Rattus norvegicus: one gene and its partner. The protein of the gene in region 1 purifies or fractionates together with the protein of each later gene. This does not show direct contact. Links are inferred from orthologs where the notes say so. Each region holds a gene or a part of one and is shown on either strand. Other genes may lie near its edges.

Region 1 (6,030 bases):
GCATGTGTGTTTGTGCAAGGCACACATACCACAAAATAGATAAACACCCAGTGTCTAGAGGCAAACATTCTTAGTATGACCTCCCCTGCCCCTTTTCAAGGTTGAGGTAGCCAGGAACAAGATTCTGTTTTTCAAAAGTACCTCTTAGGTATGTGTTTGCTTTGCCTTCTTTCCCTCCTCAGGCAACACAGTTCAAATAGAACATGTGGGAAATCTTGGGGCCGGGGAAGGTGGCTCAGTGCTTTCCTACCATATGAGAAGAATCTCACACAAGCCTGGCGTGGGGTTGATGGCTTCGTTTTCCTGGCAGTGACTCACCTGCCTGAATGGCACCTTCCATAGCCAGAACTCTTAAAAACTTGAGCTGTCTTGAACTAGATTAGAACTAACCCTATGGACCCCAGTCCCCTTACTACACCCCGACTTCAGAGATGTTAGTAGGACCATACTGTGTGGGTGCCTTGGTTAGGGGTATGGCTGTTACCCTCCTCCCCCTCAGCCATTCACTGCTTTCACCCATGTTTGCTCCTTGGCCGCTTTCTGATAACTAGTACTCTGTTGTCCGCCGCTCACTTCACGTGGTGCAGAGAAGGACGCCCCCAGTGTTTCATCTGTTTTTCTCCTTCCTGGTTTGCTAAGCATACAGCTTCATTACCTCATCGAATGCTTTGCATATCCGGTGAGAGTATATTGGCTACACATGATGACCTGCTTCAAGAGCCATTCTTGTTGAAATGGGAGCAGAGCTCAGCTCTGGTGTTTAAGTGTTGCTCTGGAGCTCAGGCTTGCCTCAGACTGTTGATTCTCCAGCGAAGTGCTAAGATTACAGGCCTCCGTGCCCATGCCCGGTGGTCAGAGTTCCTGTTCAGTTTAGATGTGTCGTTGGTTGAGCTTTTACAGGTTTATTACATTAGTTCATGAGAGTATCAGAGGACAGAGCTCAGAGGACAACTTATGAGTCTGTCCTCTCCCTTCTATCGTGTGGATTCAGGGATGGAGTAAGCTTGGTAATTAGCACCATTTATCTACTGAGTCATTTTGCAGTCCACTGCCGGCAGAGCTGGAAGGGTTTTGTTTTGTTCTATTTTCTGTGGTACTGAGGATTAAACCCAGGGCCTCCTTCCTGCTCGGTGAGCCTGCTGCACTGGGCTGGTCTGCAGCCCCAGTTGTATTCTGTGATTAGCAGTCACCTCATGACTCTTACTGACCATAAACTTCTAATAGACGTTGTGTCCTTCCCAGATCCCAACCACAGCACACTACAACTCTGGAGGGTATCTCTCCTTTGCTCCTTCCTTCTTGCCCAGGCTCTGTAGGGAAGGCTGGCCTCGGCCTCCCAAGCTGGGGTTGAAGGCATGCGCCACCACCTCCCAGCTAGTCTATCTTTAGGGTTTATCTCAATTCCCATCCTAGAAACCTTTTTCCTGACTTCAGCCTTAGCTCCGTTTTGAGTGTCATTGTGTTTTATAGATTCTATCTCATATGGTTAGAGATTTATAAAGTGTTTGCGAGCAGAAAATACCCCTTTGCCTCCCCCTCACTACATACAGTTGATATCCAGTCGAACGGAGACGGAAGTCAAGGAGAGGTAGGCTTATCCCGCCTCATCTCAGGCAAGATGCTGTCTTGGGCCAAAGTAATTTTAGGGGCTGGAGCCTGGGCTCAGTTGTTCAGAACATGTACCACTCTTGCAAAGGTCTCAAGTTTAATTCCCAGTAGCCATGTTAGGTAACACAACCCACTGTAACTCCAGCTCCAACAACAGCACTCGGGTCTTCCTGGACACTGCACGCACATGCACATACCCCACACAGATCTATGCATATAATTACAAATAATACCAAATGTTCTGACATGTGCCTTTAATCCCCGAGTTCTGGAGGCAGAGACAGGTGGATCCCTGACTGCAGATCAGCCTGGTCTCCATAGTGAGTCCCAGGCCTCCCAAGGCTACACAGGAAGATCTTGTGTCACAAAGAAAACTCTGCCTGGCTCTGTGGCCCATGCTTATACTCCACCACCACTTGGAATAGATAAGCAGGAAGATACCTGATGACATACCAACTTGGGGTGCATTGGACAGTCTCTTAATAAAAATAATAACAGGCCTTTTTAAAATGAATCCACTGCTTCATGAATTTCCATGTCATCCTTGCAGAGAGCATGCTAATCTTTCCTGATTCCTTCCAGTTTTAGTATCTTTGTGTCAAAGCACGTGCAGAATAATAAGTCTTTTTAAATTTTATTTTAGGAAAGTGTAAGCTGCTTGGGCCTCATATTCTCAAGAAAAGGTTGTTTTTTATGTTTGGAACCAGAAGAATCCTTTTCTACTTGATAAGTAAAATAGGATCTTTATTATATATGAGTTTTTCTTGTCTTGACAGGCTGCACCTTAAGTGGCCAAGATGTAAGATTCACTGTCCACTATGAGCACGGGTTCACGATCACCAGAGACAATGGCGGCACCAGCAGCATATTGTACCGCTATCCCTTTGAACGGCTGAAGATGTCTGCTGATGATGGAATCAGAAATCTCTACTTGGATTTTGGTGGTCCTGAGGGAGAACTGGTGAGAATGTGTCTGAAAACCACAAGCATGGCGGCATGAATGTGTCCACTAGCGTCCTGTCTCTCACATGGCTTCTGTTTGCTTGCTTGCTTGCTTGCTTGCTTGCTTGCTTGCTTGATTGCTTTCCTTCATTATGCTGAGTCTTGAAGGCCTCTGTGTGCTGGGCAAGTGCTTTACCACCGAACTGCATCCACCCCCAGCCGGTCACTGCTTTTTACCTCCTGTGTAGGAAGTTATGGCCTAACATTTGATATTCCATTAGCACTTAAAAGTTGTTCATTAGTTTTTTTTTAAAGATTTATTCATTTATTATATATAAGTACACTGTAGCTGTCTTCAGATACACCAGAAGAGCCACCATGTGGTTGCTGGGAATTGAACTCATGACCTCTGGAAGAGCAGTCGGGTGCTCTTAACCGCTGAGCCATCTCTCCAGCCCCCTGTTCATTAGTTTTTAAGTTTTGTCTGAGAACTGGGGAGATAGTAAAGTGTTTGCTCTACATCTATCAGGACCTGAGTTCAATCCCCACCCCCTCCAGAAAAATCTACATTAAAAAAGCTGGATATGTAGCACACATTTGTAATCCCAGCATCGGAAGGCCAGGATGTAGATCCCTGGGCCTTGCAGGCCATCCAGCCTAGCTTTTGTGGCAAGTTCCAGGTCAGTGAGAGACCCAGTCTCAACAGAGAACTTGGAGAGAGCCATAGAGAAGGCTCAGCAAGTAAAGGCCATTGCCACCAAGCCTCATGGTCTGTGATGGATTCTCCAGGAGAGGGCTGACTTCCATAAGCTGTCCTTTGTCTCTCTCACTCACACACACACACACACACACACACACACACACACACACACACACACAAATAAATAATTATAACTCAACCAAGAATGTAGCTCAGTTACTAGACTGCTTACCCGGCATGCACAAAGGCCTGTGTTTGATCCTCTGTACCACGTACATCTGGGCGTGCTAGTGCATCCCTGTGATAATCTCAGCACTTGGAGATCCAGGTGGGCAAGTCAGGAGTTCAAGGTTCTCCGCAGCTATGAGTAAGCTCTAGGCTGGCCTGGCCTGTATGAGGTTGCCTTAAAAAGAAGAAAGGGGGACATCACATCTAAACATATTTAATACCATTGTCTCTAAAGTGTGTGTAGGGCTGGAGAGATGGCTCAGCAGTTAAGAGCACTGGCTGCTCTTCCAGATGACCCAGGTTCAATTCCCAGCACAGACATGGCAGATCATAACACTCTGTAACTCAGGTTCCTGTGGATCTGACTCCCTCACACAGACATATGTAGGACAAACACCATATGTACATGAAAGAAAGGATAGGAGAGACAGACAGACAGACAGACAGACAGACAGAGAATTACAGTGACGACTCCTGTCTCTTCTCCACAGACTATGGATCTGCATTCTTGTCCAAAGCCGATTGTGTTTGTATTGCACACATTCTTATCTGCCAAAGTCACTCGCATGGGACTGCTTGTGTGAGCAGCAAGAGTGGAGAAAGACTGCCACAAGAAGTATTTCCACCTCAGAAGATGACATAAAGACAAGCAACAACAACGCAGAAGCACAAACTGAAGCCCTTGCTCCCTCCCTCCATCACAGTGCCTTCCCGAGGACCTGCAGACCACTGCTGGACCACAACAGGGTTTTAGGAAGGGCTGACCTTTCCCACACAGCCTTGGCCAGAAATTCTAGAACTATAATGAGCTCCAAATCAAAGCTGTCGATTTAGCGACTTAGTGTCTCTTTTTCATGATGTGATCTCTAAGTAATTAGGTTTATTTCCCCTGTTATGAAGGCTGACTCTTTGGGTCTCTCTTTGGATGTAGACAATAGCCAAAAGGGGTTCTCCTTTTCTCTCTGTAGGAATCATTTGGGCATAGCCTTGAGCTTGTCGCTCCCCAGGTGCTAGTGTGTAGCCGCCATCCCTCAGGCATATCCCACACAGGTCAATTGCACCTCGGTGTTAACGTTTTTTACCTTGGAAATCCCTGAGCATCATCCCCACAGGTTCCTCCACCCACCCTGGCTCTCACTGACCCCACCCTGCCCACCCCTAGCACCAACTCCGCCACCCATAAGTGCTGCCTTTAGGACTCAAAACTTGCACAGTCCGGTTGCCTTTCCTTCACTCCTCTTTTTTTGTGGTGTCCAAGTTGAAAAGCAAGTTGGACTGCTGCTCTGAAAGGAGTTTTGCTTTCTTCAGTTTATATTGAGTTTGTATTTGGTAGGAGCCAGGGGAGGGTCTACAGTTTATTTTGAAAGATCCTCATTTTAAGCTAAGCCATTTCTTATCACTTACCAAGTGTGCCTTTGGTTAGGCTCCGTGGAGCTTCATTAGTGTCTGGATGAAGGGGTCCCATCGAGCTTTCAGGAGTCCTCCTTCAGGTCAGTTCCTTAAAGATGTCTGTCGGTGGTAATTTTGTGGGTCAAGATGCCACATTGAGTGGCACAAGGCACTTTTGTGGCCCCAAAGTAGTAAGGACAAGTCACCTCCAGCTCCAATTGAACACTGAGCTGCTTAATATAACACACCCTGGATGGCAGGATGATGTCACCTGCATTTTGTTCAGCATGGCCAAGTGTCGTCATGACTCAGTGTGAGCATGACCCAGAAGATCATCCTCAGTTTGTTTCTCCTGGTTTGGAAGGGAGAGAGGTATATAAAAAACGTTTGAAACACTCTCTACATAAAATATCAAGATTAGCACAGCTCCTGAATCTGAACAAAAAGGAAATATCAATTTTCTACCCTCTGAAAACATGTCTAGAAACAGCTCGCATTTTCTAGATTTCTCTCGAGTGCCACCCAAGGATATGACGCTTCAAATAGGGTAGAGGGCGAAAGGGAAGAAAACACAAGTGTCTGTGTAGAGCCTGAGCCACTTTGATTGACAGGGTAGCCAGAGGAAAGGGCAGGTGCCAAGCAGAGGTGTCAGCCTGCTGCCCTCTGCTGTCTATGAGTCAGGCCCCCTGCTCTGCAGTCAGATTAACAGTTTGCAGAGGCTGGGGAGAAAGTCATAACCCTGAGATTGTTTCCATCCGTGATACAGCTTCAACTCAAAGGAAAAAGAGAAATGTCCCAGCTCTGAGTGCAGAAAGCAGAGCTGCAGCAGGTAACCTCAGGCAGAGAGCTCTGGCTCCTGCCTCCCTGAGCTGCAGTTTGCAAGGCTGAGCCACCAGGGGGATTGACAGGAGGCGCTGCCACCCTGTTCCTCAGGAGAGCTGTATGTAAGCAGGTATGATGGTGGCAGACAGGTAAGGTGTGCACATGTTCTGGCTGAGGACTGTGGGTTTTTAATGCTGTCATTTGAGTCTTGTAAAATGAGGGCTTATGGATGATTTCTTTGTCATCAGCAGCCCCAAGCTGCTAAGGTCCTAAGCTGCTTGTTCCAGAAGCTGCAGCAGCCCCCCAGGCAGGTGGTCCATTAGGAATTTCTCAAACCACAA
Region 2 (6,585 bases), on another chromosome or scaffold:
AATTAGTAGCAAACACAAGAAATTTAGTGAAGTTTTTCAAATTCTACTGATGTTCTTGACATTAAAAAGTCACCACTGTATCTCTCTGTCACCTCTGAGAAAAATTTTGAACTCAAAGTATACATCCTCCTGAAGAAAGAGCACTAATTTCTCTGTAGTGGGGGCGGTCTTCTCTTTAGGACGGCTGGGCCTGACTGTGGAGGTTTCAGTTATCCCCCACAAGGAGGTCCCCCACAATGAGTCACTCTACCTGAGTAGGAAGTTGTAGGAGTTGCATGTCAAAGAACTTTTCAGCAGGTACCAAATGGGTTCTAATAGCTGTATTTCAAATGGTACCCTGAGCTCTTGGCCCTGCTTTTCTTTACTCCTGACAGCTCCATCAAAACAATGTTTATTATCCTGGGACCCTGCATTACAGAAGCTCCCAATGAAGTGGAAAGTTCAGCTCCCAATACTGCAAAATCAATGTTGCTGCTTGAAGAAGTAAAATCAGACAATCAAAAATAATTGTTTTTTCTCTCATCAGGACTTGTAGCCAATGCTGAGCTTGATCTCTTCCTTTAAGAAATGGGAGGGAACACAGGAGAGGCTGTCTGTCATCCAGACTGAGGAACTAACTAGCCTCTCCACCCCAGCTTAGTTTGATAACCATCAACAGGCCTTGGCAATATATTCTCTGTAAATGGGTTAAAAGGTCTCTCAGGTTCTTTTAAAACATGAGACCACAGTGAGATAAAGTATTTTACAATCTCCAAAGTGACAATCATCCTGGCTTGATCATAAGAAGAGACATGCAGATGGACAAGAAGCAGGAAGGAAGGCCAGGGCTGGGCCTGCAGAATGTAGAAGAGCTGCCAAGTTGGTCAGGCAGTGGCCTGTCCCAAAGTCCTTTCCTGGCAGAGTTGAAGAAGCCTTTTATTCCTCCACAGAGAAAAAGACTACCTCGAGGGTACTCAGTGAAAGATAGTTATAGTGTACAAGCAGCCAGAACCAGATTCCTTCTAGAAAACTGGTTCCCTCCCTTAAGAGGGAGGGGGAAAAAAAGAAACATCTTCAAAGAAGACGAGAGTGAAAGGATTGCATGGGAAGGAGTTCCTGATTTCAATTTAGTGTGTGCCGTCGGTTAGCTCTTGTCCTCTTCAAATGTTAACATTAGGAATAAGCTAAGGATTCCCATTCCAGTAGCCATTGAGATTAGCTGTGATTGACCTAATAGGAGCTGGGCCGTTAAAAGTAATCTTTTTGCCATCAAGCTGTTTCTTACTTTTGCCCTCTCTCTGCCCCTGCCTCTCCTTAGGGTAAGCCTTCCGCCTCGTCCCAGCAGGTACAGGCTAGCAACACACTCTTCCCTGGCTCTGCTCTAAATTGGAACATTTAAAATTCTTCAAGGAGCAAGAAATAGAAGACCTATTATATAACGTCCAGAATTCAGAGAAGGGGACCCTGTTCTTGGCCTAGTCTTTTCTGACCCAGTGGTCAGATAAACTATTTTTTTCTTTCCATGAATTCCTGTTAGAAAGGGAAGTAATAGAACACTGACATTGATAAATTTTTTATCCAAACCGATAATTGCTTTTTTAATTTTCAGATTTCAAGTACAAAAAAAAAACACGTTTCACAAAACCAGTTTTCCATAATGTTGCTGTTTTAAATAACAGGACGCGTTGGAACACCTCACTTTATGGCCCCAGAAGTGGTCAAGAGAGAGCCTTATGGAAAGCCTGTGGATGTCTGGGGCTGCGGTGTGATTCTTTTCATCCTGCTCAGCGGCTGTTTGCCTTTCTACGGAACCAAGGAAAGATTGTTTGAAGGCATTATTAAAGGAAAATATAAGGTAATGAATTATGACCATTTTATTTTCCATTCAAATTACATGGGCCTCAGAAAAGTATTTGTTTTGAAGCTGTTGTCTGTCTTTGCTCATTAACTTATCACTGCCAGGACCAGAGCAAGTCTGTGTTGCCCTCAGGACCCAGTAGCCCTGTGAAGCACAATGGGGTCTTGGTCAGTTTGAGTCACCATGAGCTCAACTCAGTGAGCAGCTGAACTTCTGTGGGCCTCTTTTGTATAATTAAGAAAAGCCCTTTATTTTTAAAGCTTTTTTCTTACTTTCTAACATTCAAATGGAAATTTCACTCAGGTATTTTCAGTCCTTTCTTATCCTAATTTTGTTATCTCTAAAGAATTTGTTTTTATCAGTTTTCTGTATGTGTCTGCATGTAGGTAGGTGCATGTGAGCCTGCAGAGGCCAGAGGTTTTGGATACACTAGAGTGCAGGCAGTAGTGAACTCACCCAACATGGATGCTAGGAAGCAAACTCGGATCCTCCAGAAGAGCTAAACCACCTCTCCAGCCCCATCTTAGAGGCAGTTTGATATGACTTACACATCCATATTCCTTAGCTACTATGCATCGGAAGCCTCAAATATTATCACTGTCTTGTAATTACTAGATTACTGATTTCCTTATTTTAAAAGAGTCAATGCTATGACATATTATAGAGAGTTATATTTTAAAAACCCTAAGGACTCTCAGAAATAAGTAAGCTGAAGGTCTATTCACAGTCCCAACTCTTCTTACTCTAAGCATGTCTCAACACATGTATCTGGTAGGGTCTAGAGCTGCAAGTGTGTGTATGTGGCGGCACTTAATGCTGGGGAAATCCCCCCCCCATTATTACTGAAGCTCATACTTTCTATTCAACTGAATCATTGCTTCTTTTTTGGCCATGCCTGGTTATATAAGATGAAATATAAGTTTATATAATACTAGACTCCCAAACTGTGACGCTGCTAACATTTTCTTTTCAATTTGTTAGTAATGTTATAATTTTTAAGATTATTTTTTATTTTAATTATGTATATGTTTGGGTTTGTGTGTGGGTATGCGCACCAGAGAGAAAAGGTGCCAGTGGAGGCCAGAGACCTCAGACTCCCTGGCGCTGGAGTTACAGGAGGTTGTTAGACAAGTCATGTGGAAGCTGGGACTGAAGCACAGGTTCTCTGCAGCACCAATATTTACTCTTAACCGTCAAGCCATCTTTCCAGCCCATAATGTGGAAAGGTAGTTTCTGAGCTGCAGCCTTGTCCCTTTAAACTATAACTAAAGCATGTGGAGGTGAAAATGGCAAATACTTTACTTTGTTTACCTTGTGCACTGTCAGCTCATGAGAGCAAACAGTATCTTTCTGAAACAGAAAGAAGCAGACGTTTTTCTGCTTGTCTTAGAGTTAGTTGACCAGTAAATAAAAGCAATACTTTCCAAGTAACTAAAAACTCTGGGAGATTGCTTATTAAGCAATGGCCCCCTCCTATCCTGGGAGATTGTGAATGTTACCAGTAATACAAAGACTGGTCTTTCTGGCTGAATGTTACCAAATCAAATGAAATTACAAATGCTAATGTGTTGCAAGAAACTCAGTTGAAAATGAAGGGCCAAGCATGGTGGTACACGCCTTTAACACCTTAAGGAGGCTGAGACAGGAGACTCTCTATGAGTTTGAGGCTAATCTAGGCTACATAGCAAGCTCCAGACCAACCGAAGCTACGCGGTTAGGCTCTGTCTCAAAAATACCAAAAAGAAGGAAACAAAGTCAGGCACCAGGTTACTAAGAATAGTAGCAGAGTACTTCATCTGCACCAGGACCTGCACTGAGCAATTCAGTCAGTCTTCTCAGCAGCTCATGGCCTATTAGCATGTGATAAAATCTCCCACCTGCCTTCTTGAGTTATAAGCATTTGCTAAGAATAGAATCCTTCCTTTGTGTTTGTTCACTTGCTTAATTCCTGGTTTCCAAGGCAATGTGCCTCATTCCAGCAGCGTCTGGTATTTGATTTTGTCTATTTTTAAAGCATTGAATACTTATTTTTAAGCCTTGGTAAGTAATTTCAACTGCTTGCACTGTCTAAAAATTAAGTTATTTTAAAATTTCCTATTCTTAGCAAATAATGGTAATATTATAGGAAGTGATAAAGAAGGTAGGAGTGAGACCGTGATTGCTGTACCAAGGGCTTGTGGCTTTGCAGCTTTATTTCCCACTTTATTCAGCTAGTGTCTCTTCTTGCTGGGCTTCATGGTCTCCTTTACAAAAGGCCCAGGTCTTCAGTTTAAAATATGGATCCACTTCTGCCACTTCTACCACTTCTATGAGCTTCATGGGCCTCATCGTTTTTTCTATTTCTTTTTCCTTTTTGACATACTGTGATATGATTCTATCAATATGCATTGCCGCTTCTTTATCATGGAAATAGTCAAACACACAAGGATGATGGAGAGCTCTCAGCTTCCATACTTAATGTATTACCAATCTTGTTCTGCATTTCACACACTTTTAGGTTATTCTAAAACGTCTCAAAAAAATCATCTCAATACCCTGATAGTACTTATCAAAAGAAGCAGTCAAATCCTGATCTTGGACATGTGTAAAGGGAAGCTCGATGAAATCACATGAGACCCAGGATAGGGAAGAAGGGTGTTTTAACCAGGTTTCTACTGCTGTGATAACACCATGGCTAATAGCAAATTGTGGAGGAAAGGGTTTATTTGGCTTACAGGTTACAGTCCATAATTGGGGAAATCCAAGACAGGGACTTGGAGGCAGAGAGTGAAGCAGAGGCCATGGAGGAATGTTGATTATGGCCTTGTGCCCCATGGCTTTGTCAGTCCGCATTGTTTTTTATGCAACCCAGGATGACCAGTTGTGGTCCTCCCCTCCCACATCAATCATTAATCAAGACAATCCCACAGGCTTACCTACAGACCAATCTGATGGAGGCGTTTTCTCACTTGAGCTCCCCCTTCCTAGATAACTAGCTTGTGACAGGTTGGGGAAAAAGACAGGGGAGCTTATCTATCTAGGTAATGCCTAATCAGTCACCACCATGAATTTCAGACAAGTCCACTGACCACAATTCTGATAAAATGACAATATTTAAGCAGTCCCATGCCAGTTTCCTCATGGGATTCAACAAATGGAAGTGATTGCTGTAGTAATTTTGCCTCTCAGAAAAGGAAAGTAGAACACTGTCCAACTGTAAGAGCTCTCCCTAGTATGCAGATGCTTTGCCCTCCCCATCTGTAAGTTCAAAGCCTCACCTGAGCCAAAGCTCTGTGTCTGTTGCCAGCCCTCAGCTGAACTGGAATGATTCCTTTATGCTGGGATGCAAGTACTGTGATTTTGTTTGCCTTTAAATTATAATATTCATTCTTCATCATTTTCTCTTAAGAGGTAACATAGATCGCTAATGGTTAAGGCCAGCACACTGAGCCAGAGATGTAGTTCCTTGGCAGAGCACATGCACCACGGTTCTGTCTCCAACACTGACAAACAACAGCAGCAGTTACAAAAAAAACTGGCTACTGTATGAAGCTCCTGGCACCAGGCAGCTCCCATATGGTCATTCAATCAGGCAACTTCCACTTTTGCCACTGCCTCCAGTTCCCACTTCCCTTCCCAGCTCCGAGCTCTGAGTGTTTTTCTCATTTCTGACCTTAGACATAACCCTTTCTCCAGGAGCCTTCTGGTCTTTCCCTCAAACATCCATAGCCATTATCAAAGAGACGTGAAAAATGTGTAATTCTTTTTGTTTACTTTTACTCAGTTTTACCACACGAATTAGTCGTCCCATCTCTAAAACAGAGAGCTTCACTGAGTACAGTATACAAGTGAAACTAGCTATTTTATGATGATAGTAATATTTTTCCTTAGATATTGAAATACCCCGGTCAGAATATCCAATTAATGATTTTAATAGCCTCACAATTAATATTGCCCCAGTTTTGTTTTAGGGCTTGTGCGTATGTTTCTTTCTTCCTTTAGGAATTTTTACCCTGTCTAGGAATTCCCTTGCCTTAGTGTCTCAGGTGCTAAGATTATACTGGTGCATACCACACTCAACACCTGATCCTAACGTTGGAAGACAGTAGTTTTCAAATGTTTCTTTAGCTGGGAATGATGGCAGAGACCTGTAACGTCGTCACTTAAGAGGCTAGGGTAGAAGCAACTGGAGGTTCAAGGTCTACCTTGGCTACACAGTGAGTTCTAGTCCATCCTGTGCTTAAGGAAACCTTGTCTCCAAAAAAGAATCGTCCTTTAATTTTTTTCACTTCAAATTTATTTCAGTACTTTATCAGTATATTCTGGCCTTTTTAGCTGAGAATCAAAAACTAGAAATCAGAATCATGAGCAGACCTTTCAAATATTGAAAATATTACAATATATCGATATCAACAGAAAAATTCCTGATATAAATAATAAGGAACAAAACCACAAAGCATTGCATGTGTCTTCTTCCTTGGGAAAACAGGTCTGTTAATCTGTGTTCTTTGCCCTGAGAATATTACACTGAAATAGTATAATACTAAGTGTTGACTTCTTGAAGGTAACCATAGAGCTTTCCTTCTTTCCTTCTCAGATGAATCCAAGGCAGTGGAGCCATATCTCTGAAAGTGCCAAAGACCTAGTGCGCCGCATGCTGATGCTGGATCCTGCTGAAAGGATCACTGTTTATGAAGCACTGAATCACCCATGGCTTAAGGTACCGTTGCTCCCAGGTCACCAGCCACACTGGCCTTAAAGGATTCTCC

Evidence for each region.
Region 2: the proteins of Sntb2 (region 1) and Cask purify together in Homo sapiens (affinity purification with mass spectrometry; 3 studies listed by BioGRID and IntAct, with this or other methods). This does not show direct contact. The link is inferred for Rattus norvegicus from reciprocal best matches to the Homo sapiens genes SNTB2 and CASK.

Annotation. Positions count from the first base shown.
Region 1 is NC_086037.1:51,819,765-51,825,794, forward strand, and holds the end of Sntb2 (beta-2-syntrophin), read left to right. Parts: intron 1-2,115; exon of another isoform or gene 2,116-2,217; intron 2,218-2,384; coding exon 2,385-2,569; intron 2,570-3,969; coding exon 3,970-4,062; 3' UTR 4,063-4,108; downstream 4,109-6,030. UniProt on the Homo sapiens protein: Adapter protein that binds to and probably organizes the subcellular localization of a variety of membrane proteins. May link various receptors to the actin cytoskeleton and the dystrophin glycoprotein complex.
Region 2 is NC_086039.1:11,798,274-11,804,858, forward strand, and holds part of Cask (peripheral plasma membrane protein CASK), read left to right. Parts: intron 1-1,658; coding exon 1,659-1,834; intron 1,835-6,413; coding exon 6,414-6,536; intron 6,537-6,585. UniProt on the Homo sapiens protein: Multidomain scaffolding Mg(2+)-independent protein kinase that catalyzes the phosphotransfer from ATP to proteins such as NRXN1, and plays a role in synaptic transmembrane protein anchoring and ion channel trafficking.